3 linked regions of the Caenorhabditis elegans genome follow. The protein of the gene in region 3 interacts with the protein of the main gene of each other region in a pairwise test. Each region holds a gene or a part of one and is shown on either strand. Other genes may lie near its edges. The genes, in order: tag-343, rrc-1 and F23A7.8.

Evidence for each region.
Region 1: the proteins of F23A7.8 (region 3) and tag-343 interact in a two-hybrid assay, tested with the Caenorhabditis elegans proteins (one large-scale study listed by BioGRID).
Region 2: the proteins of F23A7.8 (region 3) and rrc-1 interact in a two-hybrid assay, tested with the Caenorhabditis elegans proteins (one large-scale study listed by BioGRID).

The regions. Positions count from the first base shown.
Region 1 is NC_003284.9:16,671,644-16,676,533, reverse strand, and holds the start of tag-343 (RNA polymerase II-associated factor 1 homolog), read left to right. Parts: upstream 1-1,801; coding exon 1,802-1,883; intron 1,884-1,929; coding exon 1,930-2,069; intron 2,070-2,111; coding exon 2,112-2,221; intron 2,222-3,258; coding exon 3,259-3,391; intron 3,392-3,433; coding exon 3,434-3,593; intron 3,594-3,889; coding exon 3,890-3,972; intron 3,973-4,737; coding exon 4,738-4,847; intron 4,848-4,890.
Region 2 is NC_003284.9:9,828,232-9,832,977, forward strand, and holds the start of rrc-1 (GTPase-activating protein rrc-1), read right to left. Parts: upstream 3,058-4,746; 5' UTR 2,980-3,057; coding exon 2,909-2,979; intron 2,073-2,908; exon of another isoform or gene 1,924-2,072; coding exon of another isoform or gene 1,904-1,923; intron 1,521-1,903; exon of another isoform or gene 1,436-1,520; intron 1,005-1,435; coding exon 855-1,004; intron 620-854; coding exon 490-619; intron 441-489; coding exon 357-440; intron 1-356. UniProt on the Caenorhabditis elegans protein: Functions as a GTPase-activating protein (GAP) for ced-10/rac-1 and CDC42.
Region 3 is NC_003284.9:16,211,375-16,214,080, reverse strand, and holds F23A7.8 (Ovule protein), read right to left. Parts: upstream 709-2,706; coding exon 505-708; downstream 1-504. Other genes in the region: F23A7.4 (RT_RNaseH_2 domain-containing protein), read right to left, coding at 1,269-1,475.

The sequences.
Region 1 (4,890 bases), 460 kb from region 3:
CTGAGCTATCTGCCCCCTCGCATTTAACTAAAATGCAAATATGCTCACTGGTGTGAGTGTCTAAACAATAAGTTTATTCATAACTGTGAAAAAGATAACCTCCGTGAAAAATTTTCTATATCCTACATACAATAGTTTTTTTTTTAATTTATTATCGTTTTCGAGCTAGTAGTCAATTTTTCAGTTATTTGGCTGAGTGTCCACCATAATATTTTTTCAAAAGTTTTTGAGTTTGTAACTATAATTATTAAACAAGTCTTGCAGAACATTCTTAACAAGCTGTACTTCACACTTTATTGCTTTCACTGTACCGTTTCACCATTCAATTTGGGAAGCGTTCGATCAAAAAGTGGTGACAAGGACACCCATACATGTACACCTTATACACTGCAATGGCGTAATAATTATATGAATCGTGTAGCTGCTGGAGGTTATCGAACAAAAAAAACAGGTTTCAATCCTACTACCAAATATGATATGTTCTCTTCTCCTCTATTATCACTATTATCACCCATCATCATGTATCATTTTTCTCACTTTTACGTCAAGACCATAACCGATTTATGACTTCTCAACGCTGATTTACAGCCAACCTAACGGAAAGTATTCGGCTATAAAATGATCAGGTATGTGTGTACGTGTGTTGACAGGAATGAGTTATCAGTGTGGTGGAATTCGCAGTGAGGAATACAATACAAACATGGTTAAATCGAAAATTTCCTGGAATTTTAGTGCTAGCTGAAGATGTTTTAAGTGCCCTAACATACAGTTTCGCAACAGGTCTTTGATTCTGATCTAGTACCGTTATACTTAAAAACATAAGCGGTAGAATAGGAATAAAATAATTATCATTGGTTTTGATGATAAGAACAGTTTTTGTTTCTTTGCGTGTGCACTTTCACAGCTCGGCAACCCCACATTTGTGACTCAACGTGTTTGTGCAAAATGAAATGTTCGATTTTTTCTACATTAGTTTTTTTTTGAAACTTTAAAATATGTTCTTTCTAACTGACGTTGAGATTAGTTCATCCCCTTTTTAACTGACGACTCAATTTATAAAATAATAACTTGCATCACCATATTATCTCTGCATAATTAAAAATGTTTCTTTTATAATAGTTTTAGTGCAGGTTTTCAGTTCTTTAGAGAATATCATCACAATTTAATTAGGTATCCCAGAATTTGCGTTAGAAAAGGAAATATAATTATTAGGAGAAAAATAGATTTTTCAAAACTTCAAGTAAGGTCGTTTGACGGCGACAATCCTTTTTCTCAATTTTTCAGCAGATTTGTTGCAGATTTTTAGTACTTTCTGAAAATAATTTTAAGATCTCAGCCAGATTTAGTATTATGGCAAATATTATTTTTTGGCGATTTTTTAAAATTTTCTCAAAATTCAAACGTAGAAATTATATTTTTCTCCGATGTTTCAAAAAAGTTTTTTTAAAACAATTTGTTTTCATCTTTTCTCGAATGTTTTTTGTAGTGTTGTTGACAATATATAAGTTATCCGAATGCTCTCTTGTTAAATTAATAAGTGCAGGGTAAAAAACTGCTTATTTCAAGGGTTAAATTTTGTGTTCTGGTTAATAGTATTTTAAACCCTACAATTTCTTTTTGCCCTATTCAAAAACTATTGCAGTTCAAATCGAAACCTTACACTTCATGAAAGTTTAACTAAACTGCGATGACCAAAACAAACATTTTGCATATTATACATTTTGTACGCCGCAACACATCCCAACTCAAATAACTGATCAAAACTTGTAGAGCACTTTCCGATACTCCTCTGCTCGAGGACATGATCTCCCCAGACTCGAAATTTGTGGGTGAAGCTCTCGAACAGAAGGATGTTAGGACTGTATTTGTCTCGGCGAAGGAAGGTTGGAGTCTTAATTATCTTGAGAATTTTACTGTTTTTTTTTTCAGACAACGAAGAACGCGAAAACCGGGTAGTCTTATTGTTAGGACCAACAAGTTCTCAAAAGTCAGAACTTATCGATTTTTTGTGTAATTATTTTTATGGAGTGGATTCAATGGATCAAAGGAGATTTCACATTTCCAATGAAGTATTACAATTGTAATATGAAAAAGTAAGTATTGAATTGCAGAAATTCAACTCGGAAACTCCTACAAAACCTGTACAGTGCTATATTTTTAACGAAACAAAAATGTCGGTTCGTCCTGTAATTCTGGATATGATCGCGTGTGGAGATACATAGTAGGTTTTTTTTTCAAAATTGGGAAAAAATCATAAAAGTTGCAAATTCCAATGAGCATAATAAATTATTCTTAGAATTAATGTTAAAACAAGAAATAGGATATCTACCGACTTTGGGTTTCTGGTACAAATTAAAATTAAATTAAAACTAAATTGGCCAAAACTTTACCATTTTCTTGAAACTTAGAGCAGTGTCAAATGTTCAAACCCAGTTATGTATTTAATGTACTATTGAATGTAGGCTCTTATTGGGAACAAAAGGACCGTCCCTCTAAGTCCCTCATAGCAGTCATAATCAAATGTACAATTTTGCTGTGGCGATGGAGAGGTCCATGTCATTTAACCACTGTCTTCTACCATTAGGCCAACAACAGGTCGTAAAATCTCGACTTGTTATCTGGTCGTAAATCAAAGTAAATGTAAACAGGACTAAAAAGAACTCTTCTTGTTTTATAAGGTGTTCAATAGTTTTTGGGGTTTCTAGGGACCTTACTTTTAGATTTCTATAGGTTTTGAATTCATTATTTCGAAATTATATGATTTAAATTATCGGCAACTCTTCTGTTCAAAATTCTAAAATTGCAAAAATTTTAATTGTTGAAGATTTCATAATAGGAGCATAGCTTACGTTTTGCATTTTCTCAGCCATTTTTTTGTGTGTTTTTTAACACTTTATTGAAAATCTTATACTATTTTGTTTTTTTTTAAATACGTGATAATCATTTTATTCCTTCCAGATAAATGATCCTAGTAGTTTAAATAGCCGTACGACGGGTGTTTCTTTTTACAAATTTAGCCAGAACTTGTAAAATCCTCCTCTGTTAGGAGCTTTTATGATGATAATATCTGTCTACTTTGGTTAATCTACTAAATTAAAAAAAATACATAATGTATTTCAATTGTTTATTGCAATGTATTTCAAAATTTTTTAACCACTAACTTTACGAAAAATGCAGAAAACTCTTAAGACAGTAATTTTTACAGTACAAAAAATATACAACTTGGATTAAAAAAATACAATAATAATTAAATTTCAGTGATGGTTTCGATTCGCCATCTTTAATACATAAATGGCTTCTTAACAATTGGAAGATGAGACTGGACGTTATTGCAATTGTGTTCTCACAGTTGCACAGAATGAGCATGCACGAAGAAGACGAACTGCAACAGGTATCTAGAACTTGACTTCAGATCCTACTTTCACATTTCCAGGTTCTCTCCAATCTTCCAGAACATGTACGCAACAGTATTGTTGTGTTCATCACAGCGTCCGACGGCTCCAGAACTTTCGAGCCTCTTTTACGAAGATTCGGTTTATCAGAGTGTCCCAAGTTCACTATCAACACGTCTTGTACATTTCAAAAACAAATGGGTGAGTGTGATTGAAATTTTTGTATTGATTCAGCGTTTGCATAGCTTTCTCGCGCCGTGTTAAAAGTTGTAAACAGACCGAATAGTTTTTGGCATTGAGTGCTCTCGATAAGAATTATCACTTTCCATCTCTCTCCATTTTTCGCCCTCTTTTCTCGTAAAACGTGACGACCATTTAAATCAAACATTTTCGGGCTGGCGAATCGCTAGAAAAATAAACTGCCAATCCGGCGATATTTGTTTTTTCCTGTACCTACCAGTGTGGGAATTGCAAAGAAAACGTTCTAATAATTTCAGAAGATCGGCTGAATGACGAACATCGGAGGAGATATTGGAAAATGTCTGTAAATCAATTCGATTCTTTCATGGAGAAAGTACAGGTACTTTTCAATGGCACTTTTTTGCCTAAATAGGAGATATTTACAATTTGGACCTGGTATCTTTTGAAGGCTTGAAATTGTTTGATTTCTCAGCCAGCTAATTGTTCAAAACTTTCAACTGATATGTAGTTGATAATTTGTAAACAAAAGTGGAGTATAGAAACGTTTTTGTATTGCCTCAAAATACTCATAATAGCTCCCAAAACCTATCGTGATGAAACATTGCAAAAAAATTCACAACTCTTTTTAACTTAAAGGTGGAATAGCGCCAGTGGGGATTTTGTCTAAATGTACTTAAAATTACCCGAAACAACCGAATATCATAATAATACACTCCAAAAATTTTAGGTTTTTCGTAATTTTCAGTCAAAGTTTTGGCAAGTTGTCAAAATTTTCAAAAATACGAGCTTTTGAGGAAATCCAAAGCAATTCCGCATGTTTCGACACCTCCGATGCTTTCATACAAAAAATTTAAACAAAATTAAAACATAAAAAATGTCGAAAAAAAATTTTTTTTTGGTCGACTTCCAAAAATATGAATGGCAAAAACTGAGTAATTTCCACTCTTTGACAGTACATAAAAAATTTTCAAAAAATGTTTGAAAAGTTTTATCATGATATTTGGTCATTTTGGGACCAAAGGAGTGGTTTTTAACAATTTCCAAACAATATTTACTTTGTGGATAGTGGTACATTTTCAGCCAAGAAGTATTGCAATTTTGGTGTCTAAAAACTACTAAACTTAAGAAAATTTTTAAATTTCAGGAAACCACCCCAATCACAATCTCGGGTCTCCCATTTGTGGATGATGGTATCTATGGAGTTCAGGAGTCTGGACAAAACTCGTCAAGAAGCAGTGTTTACTCCTCTAGCAAGTAGGTTGCAGTTCTTTTTTTTTCATTCCATTACATTTCCGCT
Region 2 (4,746 bases), 6.4 Mb from region 3:
CAGAAATGAAATATGCACTGCAGTTAAGAGCGAGTGGTGTCAAAATCATAAGAAGAACAAGATATTTTTTCAAGGTTGTACTAGAACTCACCAATTTTGTGAGAAAGGTTCAAATAATTGAATAACTCTTTGAAATACAGACTTACTATTCTGTCAGAAAGGAAAACAAATTTTCCTATCTGAAATGTTTGCAATACTTGAAATGAAATATTTATCGTCTTGGGTTCATTTGGTTTATTCGAATCTTTTTTAATTTAACTTTTCTAATTTGAAGAGATACTGTAAAAAGTCTAAACCATAGCCAGTTTTAAATTTAAATTAAATTGAAGTTTGGAGTTAAAAACAATTTCGCTTACTTCTAAAAATTTCAGAACAGGATAGCACGTTATAATGCTGCCAGTGAGTTCCGATAATCGCTCCGTATACTTGACAAGAACTTCCTGTAAACATCAAATGTGATGACTAGTGATTTTGAAAAGAAGCCGTCACCTCGAACTTTGCCGTTTCCAGATGAATAAGAGGAAACAGCTCGTCAAGTCGTGAATGCCTTCGTTCGAACACACAACGATGCAGCTGTCTGTCGAAGACTGCCCAATCCTCCCGAGAACGTTCGACAAGCCTGAATGAATCAATGATGGAAAACCTTTCAAGTTTCCGTTTTTCTTTCTTTTTTCTTTTTTGTTCTTCCTCGTACTAACTTTATTCAGCCTTTATTCTCATCTCCCATGAGACTTCACTCGTGGCTTTTTTGTTTGATTTCTGTGTGGCAGAACATTGAAAGAAAAACCGAGAGAAACACCACGGAGCACGAATTTTTGAAGACAAATTGGAAACAGAAGGAATGACCAACTCACCATGAATTTGATTCACTTTCCACACGCATTTTTATCCGCTCTGTTGCATTCTCGTCAGCGTTTATTGCGATGATGGCAACACGGACGGGACCCAATTCAACAGACGAATAATGGAAGTGTTGACAGTCGACTAGTCGTTGAATGCGAAGACTGAAACACAATAAATTGTTGATATTCAACGAAATAAACAGTGAAGTAGTATATGAATTATTTCCAGCTAGCAAAATTTGCTTCTTTCAAAAATTTTTCAACTCACAAAGTTGATACTAAAACATTAATATTCCAATTAAAATGTTTGTGGTGAAGAAATGTAAAGATATTTTCTTGAAAGAACGCCGCAACATATCTACCAACCTTATCAGCTTTAGGAATGCATTTAGTGAAAAACTGGCTAAAGTTGGGTAAAATAAATTAAAGTTGGGGATGCGCTGAAAACTTTGCACTGAAAATGTTTCTATAGTGGCCTAAACTTGGTTAAAAAGGGCTGAAGTAGTTACAATTATTTAATGTACAGTTCGAATTATTTTTCTTTTAATGGTTATTCTTTGGTAAAACTTGATTTAATAGTAAAAAAAGGATATTGCCCCGGGCGGGATTCGAACCCGCGACTGGTTTAACCCAATGAGATCATAAGTCTCACGCCTTCGACCGCTCGGCCACCGGGGCACTGATTCTGAAAAATGTGCATCTCGTTGAAAACTGCTTGAATTGCTAAAATTGGTGGATAATTTGATGCGAATTGCCGAACGCCTGCCATTCTTGTTGTAACGGTAAAAAAAATAAATTTTTGATATCAATATTTTTCAAAAACTCACAGTACTCGATGTTGCACTGTAACCAATAGTAAATTTTTTATGTACAACAATACACTTCATTATTTTTCCAATTTTATTGCACTGTTTTATCTGGGCAACCGATAAACACAAAAACCACCTTTTTCTAAATTCACCTAACTAAATTTTTTGCAAATAAATGGATATAATGAGGGAGACCGTAAGTGAATTTTTTGATTTATAAACATTCTACTACAAATTCAACATATTTTGTACCCTGGTATTTCTGGATCCATCTTTGCAAGTAGTCAGTGAATAGATAAAGTCCAAAATAAAGTCATTCAATCAATTACATGAAATATTGAGATGGAATAGATAGGAGCCGAGAGGTCTCTCCTCAAGGTTCTGTTGGTGAGTGTGTAATCCCACGCTCACTACATCGTACGCTAGCTGCACTCGCCGGTCGTGGCGGTAGACAAGCGGATAAGCGATGAAACATTCAATTTTGATTGGGATGAAAGGGGAGAAAGAGATGGACCAGAGAGTGATTGCAGAAAAATCAAATTGCAAAATGTGGGCCACTGGTTAGATTTATGGAAGGACATTTATCAAAAGGTTGTTGGAAGCAATTCAATGTTTCGAAACGTTTTTAGTAAAACTGGAGAATTTTAGACCTTTCACATAGTTATTTTTCAAGAACAAAAATACAAGACAGGTCTGTATTGCAACTCTTAGAATTGCTTCAAGACGTCTTGGTAAAAATATTTATTTTAAGCAGATTGTAGAATCAGTTGTAGCACGAAGAAAAAACAAACCAAACTGTTACTCTTCTTTTAACAATTTCTTATGCATATGATGTGAATTGTTGTTTTTACAGTAAAATTGAAGTTGTCTACATAAAATTAAATTTATGTTTCAAATATACTTTGAAAAAAAGTTCCACAACAGAAGGGAAATTACGTTACACGATGGCCCACAATTATAGGCCACCCTGCATCATTAACACGGTGCTTAAAAAATTATTATACTTTTTTTGAAAGCTTTTGAAACAAGTTGGATGAATCTAAATGTCGGGTTTCGCCCGTTTTTCTCTTAATTCTTTTCCGATTAGCTCAAATGGTTAATTCCAGACCTCAAATCTTTATTCAAAATATCTTTTGCGCAAGCAAAGATAAGTATTTTGAAAACGAAATGTTAAATTTGAGTGCATTAGGATTCTGGCAAACCTAAATCATTAAATTTTTTAAAGTTTGAAAATCTAAAAAATTTCGAAAAATCTACCTTCTTCCGTTTCTGCGTGCAAATGGGCTTTTGGGAGATAAAGGTGCAAATGATTCCTCGATGCCTTCCATTTTTTACATCACTTTAAATGAATACGTTGCTTTTCAAATGTTTTTACCAGTTTTTGTTGTCCTCGTTATCCTTCCTGAAAATGGCAACCGGAAGTCATGAGAATAAAAGGTAAACGTGTGGTGTTTGAGGAAAAATACATGTTATAAACACACGCTTTGCTTATAGATCGGTTCGATTATTTACATGCAAACATCATGTCAATTTGTGTTGGCAAATGAGAAGTGACGGCTTTTAGTTAGGAAAGCGGGACGAAAAGGGGGCAATCAGGAAAATCAGTTAAATTGTCGTGTGACTGAAGGAGTAAATATGGGTTCTGTTTGGAAGTTGTCAAAAATTGAGCAATGACATAGGAAGGCAGGCGTTGTTAGGAGCCAACAACCAAGAATCTTCAGACATGTGTTAAAAAATCATGTGGCCAGAAACATCTTGTTCGAGAGTTTTAGGATAAAACTGAAGATTATGATTAAGATTTTAGATATATATGTACCTCGTTTCGTGATATTTGAAGATAAACGTTGTGAGGAAGTGAGTTTCTGATGTTGTAACTTTTAAGTGGAAACTCTATTTTTGAAATTAAAAAAAGAAGGTTTTGAAGCCATACACTCAAATTTAATATGGTTCCAGAGCAAAATTTATCTGGATTATTAGAAATTTATCATAAAATTTAAAAAGGGTCGTATAATTCTACACAAAAAACCAAAACTAAAAATAAAATAAAGCAATTTATATTTTATATTATATTCTTTATGCTTCTAAACTTTTGATTAAATATACACAAATTTCACATAATTTTCTCGGAAAATGTGTTGTTTTTTAGAACACATACAATTAACGTTTATCACTCGACTGGGTAGAACAAAAAACGCAAAAAGAAAAAAAGCTCAGGTTGGTTCCAAAAATTCATCAACACTTGTGACACCTAGCAAAAAAGATAACCAAGCTCTTCAGGGGCAGCAGCCAACACGGATCCGTGCCGGGTTTCCGGTTTTCTAACGCAGTGGACAGCTGCTGTTGTTAAGGAGGAGAGAAAGTACAAGCCATTTGAAACCAAATTCTAGGCACAACAGGTGTCAGGATTTTCATGGATGGTTAAGGATGAGAAAGAACTGGTTGAACGATTGATGCTAATCAGTATGATTTTGAGTCAAAAATGATAAAACGAAGGGTTATTAGTGTGTTATATTTCCGGACGCTTCATCTTCTTCATCTTCAAAGTTTCGGTCTAAAGATAAAGAAGATAGCAACGGGTCCCGAGTTTCTCTCTTCGTCTCATCAACCAATCTCCGTCGTCTTGTCTCTACGTATCACAATTCTGGCGAAGCACACACACACACATACGTTCTTCTTTTTCTACCCCTATGCTCTTTAGCTGCTGCTCTTCTGTGGAGCACTCGATACAAATCTACCACCTGACACTATCACCGCATTGGGTGAGACGGGCTTGCTGGTTCAAATGTTCTTGCAGACAAAAATGACCGTCATATGCTCTAGCTTCTTTTTTTTCAACTACTCTTTGGTAATTTAAGAAATATGGATACCTAAAGTTGATCTGACAATTAAAATGTATTTGTGCAAAAGGGAAAACAAATTGTTAGTAATATTATGAGCTGTAACTTGTAAATAACCTTACTAGAACATATTATATAGTGCCAGAACAATTGTAGAAAGAATTACCGTGTTTCCTGAATCAATCTTGCTTGTAAGACAAATTTTGGATTGACCCGTAGAGGTGAAAGACTAATAAAGACTGCAACACTATTAGAGGC
Region 3 (2,706 bases):
TTTGAATTATTTCTCTAAAGACGATAACCTTTACATTTTAAACAAATTATACATTTCAATTGTCCAGAATCAAAAATGCAAGCGAACATCTCGGAATGGAGAATAGTGTCGGGGTACTGCAGTGTAGGGCTGTACAAATCGGCGTCCGGTCGTACGATTTTGACACCACCGGACGCACTGCGTCCGGTTTTGGGGTAGGTTTCCACGGCGGCCGACAATTTCCGAGTTTCGCCACTCACTATGCTTAATCAGCAATTTTATAGTGAGTGGCGAAACTCGGAAATTGTCGGCTGTCGTGGATAGCTACCCCCAACCGGACGCATGTGCGTCCGGTTCGGACGACCGGACGTCCGGTTGTACAGCCCTACTGCAGTGAGACTATAGGGGTACTGTAGGAGTACGGTAGTACTATATTCATTCATTCACCAATGCCTTCTTAAAAAATGAAGGGAGAGAAGTACATGCGCGAAAGCGCAAAATTTTTTTTTTTTTTTGGGAGTGGAGTTAATCTCCAACTCCAGAATAGACCTTTCGTTTTTCTGTTTTATCCATCGACATAAGACATTGGGTTTGATGGCAACCCAATGAATACTCATCAATCTCCAGGCTGAGCAAACCTGAGGGGACTAGGCCGGACTTGAACTCGTGACCTGTCGATTGCAAGTCAGTGTTGTAACCAACTGAGCTATCGACGCCCCATTGCAGCATGACTTAATTGGAATTTACATAACCGCTCGCGGAAAACGATAAATGCAAGCGGCAAGCTCGTACGTCTCAGAATGTTGAGTAGTGTCGGGGTACTGCAGTGAGACTATAGGGGTACTGTAGGAGTACGGTAGTACTGTAGTTTTGAACATTTGTGGGATATATATCTCCGTATTATTAAATGTTGGTTTTCAGATATCGGAATTAAAGAGTGCACTGAAATTTTACTTTCGAGAGAAACGTAAATGCCGAGTTTTCAAGAATAACAACAACGCGCGAAAGCGTAAAAAACAATTTTTTTTTGGGAGTGGAGTTAAGCTCCAACTCTAGAATAGCCCTTTCGATTTTTGTTTCGTCCATCGACATAAGACATTGGGTTTGATGGAAGACCCAATGAATACTCAACAATCTCCAGGCTGAGCAAACCTGGGGGGACTAGGCCGGACTTGAACTCGTGACCTTCAAAATTAAAAAATGCAGAATTAAAAAATGCACCGATGTCGTGTTTTTGAGGAAAACGAAAAAGCGCGAAAACGCAAATTTTTTTTTTTTTGGGAGCGGAGTTAAGCTCCAACTCCAGAATAGACCATGCGATTTTTTTCCGACACCACCATCGACATAAGACATTGGGTTTGATGGCAACCCAATGAATACTCATCAATCTCCAGGCTGAGCAAACCTGGGGGGACTAGGCCGGACTTGAACTCGTGACCTGTCGATTGCAAGTCAGTGTTGTAACCAACTGAGCTATCGACGCCCCATTGCAGCATGACTTAATTGGAATTTACATAACCGCTCGCGGAAAACGATAAATGCAAGCGGCAAGCTCGTACTTCTCGGAATGCAGAGTAGTGTCGCGGTACTGCAGTGAGACTATAGAGGTACTGTAGGAGTACGGTAGTACTGTATATATTCATTCATTCACCAATCCTTTCATAAAAATGGCGTGATATTTGGAAAATAAAATTCACCAGAGAATTATTACTGTAGGTTCTTATAATTTGCAATGTTACGTTTAATATTGACTTGTTTTGCATTGTTTGCAGATTCTAGAGCAGATTCTAGAGTAAGAAATCGAGAGAAAAGATCTACAAACAAGAATTGTTGTTGCAGAGTTTTGGACAATAGCAGTGCACATTTGGGCAGCCTATCGTCCTCTTCCCGGTTTTTCGGCGCAATAATTATGGTCGTTTTATTGCAAATCGACATCTATAAATGTTTTTTCTGTTTGTTTTTGTAGATATTGGTATGATCTCCTTTAATATAAACTGTTTTACTAGTTAATAATTATTTTTTAATTTTCATTGTAAAACTGCTTCAAGATAAGAACTTTATTTGTATTTTTCAATATTCCGACTATCATGTACACCATGGTAAGTAGGATGGTAGGGTGCATTCTTGGTACATCAAACGGGCAGTTTTGCGCATAATGACGTACACTTCTGCAGTTATGCAATTTTGGCCAATGATAAGTCGGTGATAAGTGTTTTCAATCAGAACTATATATTTTAGTACACATGTAAGATTAGGCAAACCTTTAATTCCAATACGTTGTCTATTTATTTCTACCCAAATTGATTTTTTCAAACAATTTTTTAAACACTAGCCATAGCCAAAATGGGTTACTTATACAATAGCTACTATCAAATTTCAGTTGTCCAGAGTAAATTGTTTCTTCTCTCTAATCGCGTAGTAGTTCTGAATCTTAAAAATCTGAATCTTAAGAAACTTTAAATGAATTAACACATCCTACACGTATTTTTCCCCTATTTTTCCCCTCCCTCTGTTATACAGCGTTTTCTAGAACTCGTATTAAAAATTTATAAGAGAAAATTCCTAAGATGGCTTTTTTAGAGTTCAAAATTCCGCCGCTTCAATTTTATGTGATCTTTCGATTGGTATAAGTATTATCCTTCTCGGTTTTTCGGATATGCAGTTTGAGCATCTTGGTACATTTTCTCCCGTCTCCTCTCTCTCTCCCCTTCTTTGCCACTTTTTGGC